Linked DNA regions of Drosophila melanogaster. The protein of the gene in region 1 purifies or fractionates together with the protein of each later gene. This does not show direct contact. Each region holds a gene or a part of one and is shown on either strand. Other genes may lie near its edges. The genes, in order: Mlc-c and jar.

What was found.
Region 2: the proteins of Mlc-c (region 1) and jar purify together in Drosophila melanogaster (affinity purification with western blotting, with the first as the bait; one study listed by BioGRID). This does not show direct contact.

The regions. Positions count from the first base shown.
Region 1 is NC_004354.4:5,618,466-5,622,695, reverse strand, and holds Mlc-c (myosin light chain cytoplasmic), read left to right. Parts: upstream 1-2,120; 5' UTR 2,121-2,168; coding exon 2,169-2,217; intron 2,218-2,409; coding exon 2,410-2,822; 3' UTR 2,823-3,560; downstream 3,561-4,230. Other genes in the region: RhoGAP5A (Rho GTPase activating protein at 5A), read left to right, coding at 4,019-4,130, 4,216-4,230.
Region 2 is NT_033777.3:24,268,119-24,272,964, reverse strand, and holds the start of jar (jaguar), read left to right. Parts: upstream 1-1,731; 5' UTR 1,732-2,066; intron 2,067-4,846. UniProt on the Drosophila melanogaster protein: Myosin is a protein that binds to actin and has ATPase activity that is activated by actin. Together CLIP-190 and jar may coordinate the interaction between the actin and microtubule cytoskeleton.

The DNA.
Region 1 (4,230 bases):
AATGCATCCAAAATCAAAACAAATCGGCGGCACGTGTGGCGGTTTCTTGTGAAACGATCTGGCAGCACTGCTCGATTTCACTAAACTCCCTGCACTCATCGATGTTGTCGCACCTATCGAATTTCGAGTGGCCTATCGATTGCGCCCACTATCGGCGACCACTAACACCAACAACGTTTCAGAATTTGCTTGCGTTTTGTTTCGACGTCGAATTCAATATTCAATATTTCGTGTATTTTGTGTTGTTTTCCCTCAGATAGCTAAAAACAAATCGATATGGTGAGTGCAGGCTGTTTATTGCGGCGCTGTTTACTGTTTACGATCGCACTGGAAGTGCGCTTTCCGGCGCCTTTGGAAGCCAGCACTCAAGTTTCCTTCATTGTTTTCCTTTCTTTCCCCTCTCTCTCTCCCCGCAGGCAGCTTATACCGAGGATCAGTTGGCTGGTGAGTTGAATCGCACGAGGACCAGACGGGGTCAAGTACCAGGAGTCAAAAGTCGGGCAAATCGCATATATATATATATACAGATATATATATGTGTATAGTATTGATATGTGCGCTGGCACCTAGCGCCCTCTCCCTCCCACTCCCACACAGCATTGGAATGCGGGAAAGCGATGGCACGTACATTTGTGTGGTGTGCATGAATCATTGATAAAGCAAATACGCTGGAAGGCAGACGGCAGCCATACGAATACGATCGTGACTCACCTAAAAAGCGGCGAGAAAGTCCCAAAACCGAAACACTGCAATACCCTGTCCAAAATGCTTTAATTAAGAGCAGCTGTAGGCAAAGTTTGACGTGATGACTTCGAAAGACATCCGAGATCAAGCTGACAACACATATCGAAACTGTGCTACTTTTGGGCTTTGATCAGCAGATTATGTTCGTCCAAGGAATAGCTTCATAGAATAGCGACACACGGCTGTGTACCAAGTTTCGCATTAATATCTCTTGATAAATCCGAGTTCTTTCGGTTATCCGAAACCCACACCAAGTTAATTGATAATATGCATAGCAGGCAACAAACTTATTCGACCATCAGCTAGTTAGTTTCTGCCAACAAGCTAGTGCTAGTCTTAAGCTAGTGTAAACCAAGTTTGTAGGTCATCATAAGAGCAGTTATTGTAAGACAGAAACTGGTCGCTTATAATCATAACCAACACCTCGGTATGAGTACAAAAAAAAAAAAAAAACACTGTTTAAGCGAAAGGAAGTGAGCGATAAAATATAGATAACAGAGCGGTCTAATGGGATAATCACCCGGTTTTCTGACTCGCCGGCTGCTCGTTTCAAATAAAACTGCAATTGCAGTTGCAAAAACCGAATAGCCATGCGATAAGAAGCCAGTCAGTTGACAAAAAAAAAAAAAACCAGCTTCCATTTACGGAACATCACCTTCTCTCTAAGTAAAAATGCAACACGATTTCGATTCCATGGCGAATCAAATCGAATCGAATCTTTACGCAATCCCCTCGTTTAACCTAATCAAAGTCAATGGTCTCTGATAATTCCGTCATGCTGGATTCGTGACACTCTGACGTCAGCGTTCAACCGCATATGCCTATGTACGAGCCATATACCATATATTTATTTTCCAATTCCAACTTACCTTGTTGCAATCTTTAGCCAGCCGTCGACGTTTTGTCATTGCCTAAAATGGACAAAAATGTGCTGGATTCGTTTGTTTTTATTGCCATTTTTGGATCTCGTATTCGCATGATAACCGAACACATCCCAGCAATTCATCGAATGGTGAACACTCTAGTGCTCAGATCTTTAGAGGATCTGAAAACAAAATATTGAGCCCAACCACAATGTTCTATTTACGCACGTAGATCGCAGAACTTTTGCAGCTTGGTTAACTTACACCATCACTTGCTTAAATCCAACTGCACGCGAAATGGACTTGCGATGTCACGCCTCGAAACGAAAAACTTTGAAACTTAGGATTTCTGGGTTGTTTATCTTACTTGCAAGCAGGCAGTTCCCGGTAGAGAAACGAAGTTTGCCAGCGACGTGAGGGTATACCATGGCCAAGGAAGGCGGAGTGGTGGCTTGCATCGGAGCCGATCCGATCCGCTTCGATCCGATGGCCAGCCAAATCCGGGCAGGCGGAGTTTCAGGCAGTCAGTAGCTGGCAAAACGGTCATCGGAGTGGTTCAATATGTATTACTATACGGCGCATGTGAAGCAAACCTTTACCACACTGGAAGGTGATCCATTTAGCCATTTAGTGGGTGGTAGAAAGCTATAGTTCCCCCTCACATTTCCATACGTTTATATGTAGTAGTTATGTAGGTATTATATATTATATCCCTTATCGAAGGGTTCTTGTAAGTTGTAACGATAATAATTAAGATTTGTAAAGCATCTGCCAACAATCAGCACGCACTTTCCATTCGCAGAATTCCAGGAGGCCTTCAACCTGTTCGACAACCGCGGAGATGGCAAAATTCAGCTGAGCCAGGTGGGCGAGTGTCTGAGGGCCCTGGGCCAGAACCCCACCGAGTCGGATGTCAAGAAGTGCACCCACCAGCTGAAGCCCGACGAGCGCATCTCGTTCGAGGTGTTCCTGCCCATCTATCAGGCGATCTCCAAGGCCCGCTCGGGCGATACGGCTGATGATTTCATCGAAGGACTGCGTCACTTCGACAAGGACGCCAGCGGTTATATCTCCTCCGCCGAGCTGCGCCACCTGCTGACCACGCTGGGCGAGAAGCTCACCGACGAGGAGGTCGAGCAGCTGCTGGCCAACATGGAGGACCAGCAGGGCAACATCAACTACGAGGAGTTCGTGCGCATGGTCATGAGCGGTTAGGATCAGACCGATTCTAGCTGTTCAACTGTCCAGCGACACGACAATAGAAGCAACGCTATATCCAACACAATACAACACACCAACACTAAACACACCTGCCAAGCTACACATAGATGAGCCGTTCATTCCGCCAGAAGTTCCAACTCCGTGATTCCAACTTAGCCATTCTTACCCCGGCATTAAAGCATTCAAAACCAAGGACAACGACCAAGGATATCGAGATATAACAAATACAGGGGAAAGTGCTTAACACAAGCAGCTAATAACTGAAAACTAAAAACTAAAACTACGAGATTGGAGCTATTCCCACTTCCAAAATTAACCAACGATGTAGACATAGATTCATGATTAACCATAACTAATTACCGCGTCTGTGAATGTGCGTATTATTCTAAAATTGACACTAGAAGGTTAATCAGTAATTATCAACTAGTGCAGTCGTTCTTTTGTACCAATCACACTCGATACATTTATATATATATATATATGAATTACCATAGTATACTTCAATGGAAGGAAGGAAAGCCAGAGTATCACGAAAAAGTATTTCTAAATTAAAGCTGATATGCGTCGGTGGCGTGTGTCCGTATTTAAATGCGCATTTTGAAGTTTTACATGTTTATTTTTTTTTAAATAATTTAATATTTGTATTTAATAAATAATGAAATGAGATCCAATGAATGTGTAGGTCTTTTTACAAAAGAAACGTACTTAAACTATTAAACCAATTGAAACCTTAGCTCTTGTTTTTATTTCTTGTTGAAAGCGGATGGCAATCAAATAAATGGCTGCTTAAAATTACGACTGATGCAAATTTTTGAAATATTTAGGAAACTTAACTGAAATTAAGCAAATTGTTTGTGGTATTTTTTGCGAGCTCTTGTGCTCTGAGCTTTCGGACATTTTTAAACTGATTATTAAGTGAGAACCACTGCATACTACAGTATTTACAAAACAATATAATGTAGTTTAGCTATCAATAAATTCAATAAGCTTACTATAAAGTTTATCTAAAGTTATAGTCATTTAAATTTAGTATTCTTCCGACTTTAATACCGCGCTAATTTTCGCCAGTCTGGCAGCTCTGCTCGCTCGGACAAAATTATTTGTATACTTTACTTAATTGGCTGCATTCCTTAATTATTCGCCGCCTACTTAGTGGCTTTTGACCAAGTGGCCTGCTAATCCGAGGGAGGATGCCCCGGAACACGGAGGCGGGCGCCGGAAATGCGAATACCGGTGGATCCGGCGGAGTAGGCGGTGCCCCCGAGCCCAGTTCTCCGGTTCAGAAGGTTTGGAAGCCGGAATGTGAGTGGAGAAGCACCTCGTATGCCACCCACAAGCTTATGATATGACTAACCATCCCCTTACCCATTTACCCGCCCACGCACAGTGTACAAACTGCAGC
Region 2 (4,846 bases), on another chromosome or scaffold:
CAACAGCAAAGGCGGCTATATATCCGACCCTCTCTGGTGCTCGGATATATCCGACTGTTTATGTTATATGCGAAAAGAAGAACGGCAAACAAACGCCGGCTGCATGCGCACTCTCAGTGGAATCGATATGGAATCGGGAGAGCGGGTCTCTAATACCAAGATAGCAATACCCAGATACAACCACTTCAGGCGGACGAGGAGAAGGTGGAGATATGACTAACATGGTACGGAGCCACCCCTAGTCGTTTTTGGTAGCAAATTACACCGATCCCCGGCCACTTACGGGGAAAGCCTCTACCAATTTCCATTTGCACAGCCGCTTGCAGCCAGGTAAGCCAGGTAAGTGGAAACTCGAATGCCTCATCCGATGGCAGTCGTTTGTCAATCAGGCGATCACGATCACTCAGACCTACGCGCTCTCTTTCACTTCCAATTGAGCTGCGCTGCGACAGACAGACAATTAAGCGGGTATTGCAAAAATACAAAGAAATGGTCGCAGTTGAGTCTAGCGACTAAGAGATACCCATTCTTGTTCGTTGAGATACCAGTTTTCATCAGCTAAAAGAACTTAGTTTCATTAGAAAATTATATCTTATAGTTAAGCAAGTACACCAAGTAACTTCAACTTTGAAATCTAGTATTACAAAGTTAGAAGGGTTCAACCATACTTACTTATAACTTATAACTTACTATAGTTAGTAAAACACAATATACCCCTGCGACAATTAATAAAGACGCTCCTGATTGAGCTCAATTAATAAGCGGGGCGCTGACCCATTATGAGAGCGAAAAATCAAAGACGGAAAATCGTACGATACAATGGCTCCTATTTCACACTCGTTTCTCGTTCATTCGCTAGTGTTATTTATCTAAATATTTGCAACAAAGGCTGGCGGAATATTTGATCCCCAGAATGCATCCAGGTGGTGGTGGTAGCTGGTAAAGTTAAGGACAGGAAAATAATTAGTCACCTCACTTTTTATTCATTAAACAACCCCTCTTGGAACTTTTACAAAGAGTACGGGCGGTATGTGGGAACCAATTGTCCTGCTCCACGTCACTAAACTTAAAATATATAGGGAACAAGAATATGAGAACGCACCGTTGTGCAGCCATCGAAATCTATATTTTGAAAAGTTGCCAAATCTTCTTGCTTTGCTGAAATAATTATAGTATAGTACTGAGAACTGAGTACAACACTATCCAACATTCTGACGGATAAACCACTGCGACTGTGGACCAGTCGTGATGCAGGTGTTGCAGAAGAGTGAACCACTCGATAACACCGCATTCTTAACCCATTCCATTCAAACTTGGCCATTTTCGTTTGCATCTTTCATAATTAAACTTAAAAACAGCACGATCAGCGGTGAATCTTTTTGAAGAGTATACTGTTTATATATACTGATATGCGGTGCATCTTAAATTACCATATTCCAAGCTTTAAGTTTAGAACTGGCTACACAAATAGGATAAGTAAAAACTACTGCATCTACGAAAATGAGTATCTTAAAAACCCATCTAACCATTATGGATTTGAAAAGTAACGCATATTTAAAATTAGCGCCAAAACTAATCTCTGGTCACACTGCAGGGCAGATTTTGCGCCCTAACTATCGGCAGCGGTGGTGGCACCTCTAGCGGTCAGCTGTTTTGCGCGTGCTTGTTGTTGTTTCGGTGCCGTTGCTTTTCGAAGTCGAAAATCCAAAAGTGGATTGTTGTGGATTTGATTTCAGTTCGACTCGACTCTCCAACGCGACGGTACGCGATTCGAGACGCTCGTGCTGGTCGCCTTCCGATCGCCGCTTGAATCTTAAATCTAAACTGTTAAAACCGAGGCAAACAAACACAACACCCAGCTGAAAATACTTCAAGTGTTACAAACTTTTGGAAATAGTGTATCGTGGCTATAAATTGCAAGTTCTAAATTCGAACCAAACAAAATCCACGCAGGAGATCGATTCCAAGTGGATTGCGCCTTCATCAATGTGTTCGTGTGCGTCCCCGGAAACATAATCCCCATTTGCCAGTAACTTACGCACGTACAGATTTCCAGCCGTCTTAAGGTAAGTGGCCAATATCTCTCTGGAGGAATAGGGGTAAGGGGATAACCGCCTGACAGCGAGTGGTGGTCACCTGTGAAGGCGGATTTGCTGCCTTTTGCTTTCTGTTGACTTGCGCTTTTCGCCTTTCCGCCTGACATTGGCACATTCTTGTCCACGAAAATTGGTTACCTATGTACAATATGCCAGTGTTGCAAACAAGAAATCGATTAGCAATCGCGGAAGTGACTGCACCCTACATATGAGTACTTTCAACTGGGAATCGTTTTTTGCACATAAACTAAACCAAAGTACAATTAATCATTACATTTTATTAATTTCTATACCAAGTAGTTACATAGAATTTAGCTCTTTTCTGGCTTTGGTAAACTTATTCTAACCATGACTCATATTTGTTTTGTTTGCCCTCCAATATTATTAGTTCTCTATAGAACAGGAGGTTCAAACAGAAAACGTGACCGTAAATCGAACAAAAGGAGTGCGCAGTCGCAACAGCAAATGTCACCACCATTCCTGCAATTCCCACAGCTGTCCTCCTACCACGCATCCTCATCCACATCCCGCACCCACAACCATGCACCCTATTCCATGTGTCCATATGTGTGTGTATGTACATAATTCTATTTATAGACAGGGGCCCATGTCAACGTCGTCAGTTCACAGTTGTTGTTGTTGTGTTTTTAAAGCAAACTCAAAGATAGTTTTGTGTCCCGACCATTTTAATTGAGTGCGGAAATGAGCAAACATTTCTTGGAGCCACACCCCCCTCCCTTCCCTGTCAACCAGGGACACAAGTGTCGTTCTCCCCGATCGACTGACTGGCCGTCTGATTTCCCATTCGAGGCACATTTCGTTTATTTATGTGGAAAATAGGGGCAGAGTAGGAGCTGGAGGAGCAGGGATGTGGACGCCGCTCCTGCGCATGCGTGTCCATGTTTGCAGACGTGCCCAACCTATTCTGAACACTTTAAAGCCAATTAAACGGGTTCGTCGATACCCTTTCATGTGGCCAGGGTATCTATATTTCTCTGGGGGGGTGAGGAATGTTGTCCTTGTTCACGGGAATCGGTGGCTAGAAACAAACAAGAATGTTTATATGGGTGCTAAAACTAACTTACCTATTTGCATTTCCCTTTAACCAAGACATTTTACTTTATAATAAATATTTGATGGATTTATTGAGGTATCACTGTATCATTTCACCTAATATTCGCACAAGGGTGTCGCGCATATAATTCCATATAATTCGAGATCCTTTGCGGTGCACTGGAGGAAGTCCTGTTGTTGTCCCTGTGCTGGCTGTCACTCAAGCCCCGTTCAACCCCCTTTCAAACCGACGTGACCTCCCCCTCGCCGGGTGGCAAGCAATTCCCAACACGCGCCACACAGCTGACAGGATCGCAGGATCACAATCCTGATCTCCATTGCCGTCCATTGTCAGCGCCGACAGCTGCCTATATGAATTATATGGAACCTTCGACGGGTTATACAGATATGTAGCCCAAAGTTTCTCGAATGGAGGCAAACCAATCTTTTTGGAGTGGCCAGCAGTTGGGCTCGAGATGCGTTAGACCAATTTGCATATAATACAAAAAGAGAAACACTGAAACGGCCGACGATTGTTCAAAGATTCGCAGTGAAAGTCAGCCAGAGTGTGTGGTTTAATTGCAGCTTTTGTTTTGATAGTCGATTAGCATAATTCCAGTTGTATTTTGCTTCTATCGTGGCATCGTTGATGGATTTTTTATGTACATGCCCCTCTTGTTTTATTCATGTACATTAGTTTTTTTTGGTTTGTCCAACGCAACACGTGCTTATAAAATATTGGATCAATATATGCAATGAAAGTTCCGTTTCAGTTTCCTGTTCAAAAATATATCAACGGTGATTCAAACTATATATTCGGAATACAGTTGTAAATATGATAAGATAGCACTCATTTTTAAACACTAAATAAATAAATTATTTCAAGCTTAAACTTCAACCACTTAACTAATGTGAATCATGTATGATGATAATGATACGACCATTTTTATAGTTACAGTAACATTTAAATTCATAATCCATAATCCCATAATCTGCAACTTTTTTGTCAAAAAATTTTACTTTCGTTTGATTAATGACTGTCAGTCTATTTATAACTTTTCAATCGTTAAACAATCATTTAAAACAAAGGGACTGAAAATAGATTTGCATAGCTATAGTTTTCGATGGGAAAGAGGCTCGACTTTCTGCAATTTGCTAGTTGTGTGGCCAATAAATTTGGTTATATTATTCTCATTACAACGAAACTGAATTATATTTACCTGCTATTTATTTTTCTGCCTAGCGTCAAACGGGTAATTGTGCTGGGGAACTGAGATAAGATTAAGTGTGAAACGATAACACATATTTGGGAACACCACACACAGGCCGCCCAAAAAAACAAAGGCTGGCTAACACAAAGCCCCCAATGTGACCCAAAATAAACGAAGTGATCCATGCTTTTTTCCCCCATGCTCACATATCCGCCAAGTGCAAAGTAACGACTTGCAGGTCCACACCATATGGAAAATCTGTGAACATGTGTCGTGGAAAATGAGTTATAGGGTCGTCACACAAATCCATCAACGTCTGTAAAATGACTTGGTTAATGGCAATGGCAATGGGAATGGAAATGGGATTCGGATCTGGGTCTGGGTCTGGATGTGGGATAGCCAGCGGTTAGCATTTGCATTTTAATTGCATCTCCGAATTGTAGGAAACGAGCAGCGTTAATTGCCGTTTGGCTCACAGGAAAAAAA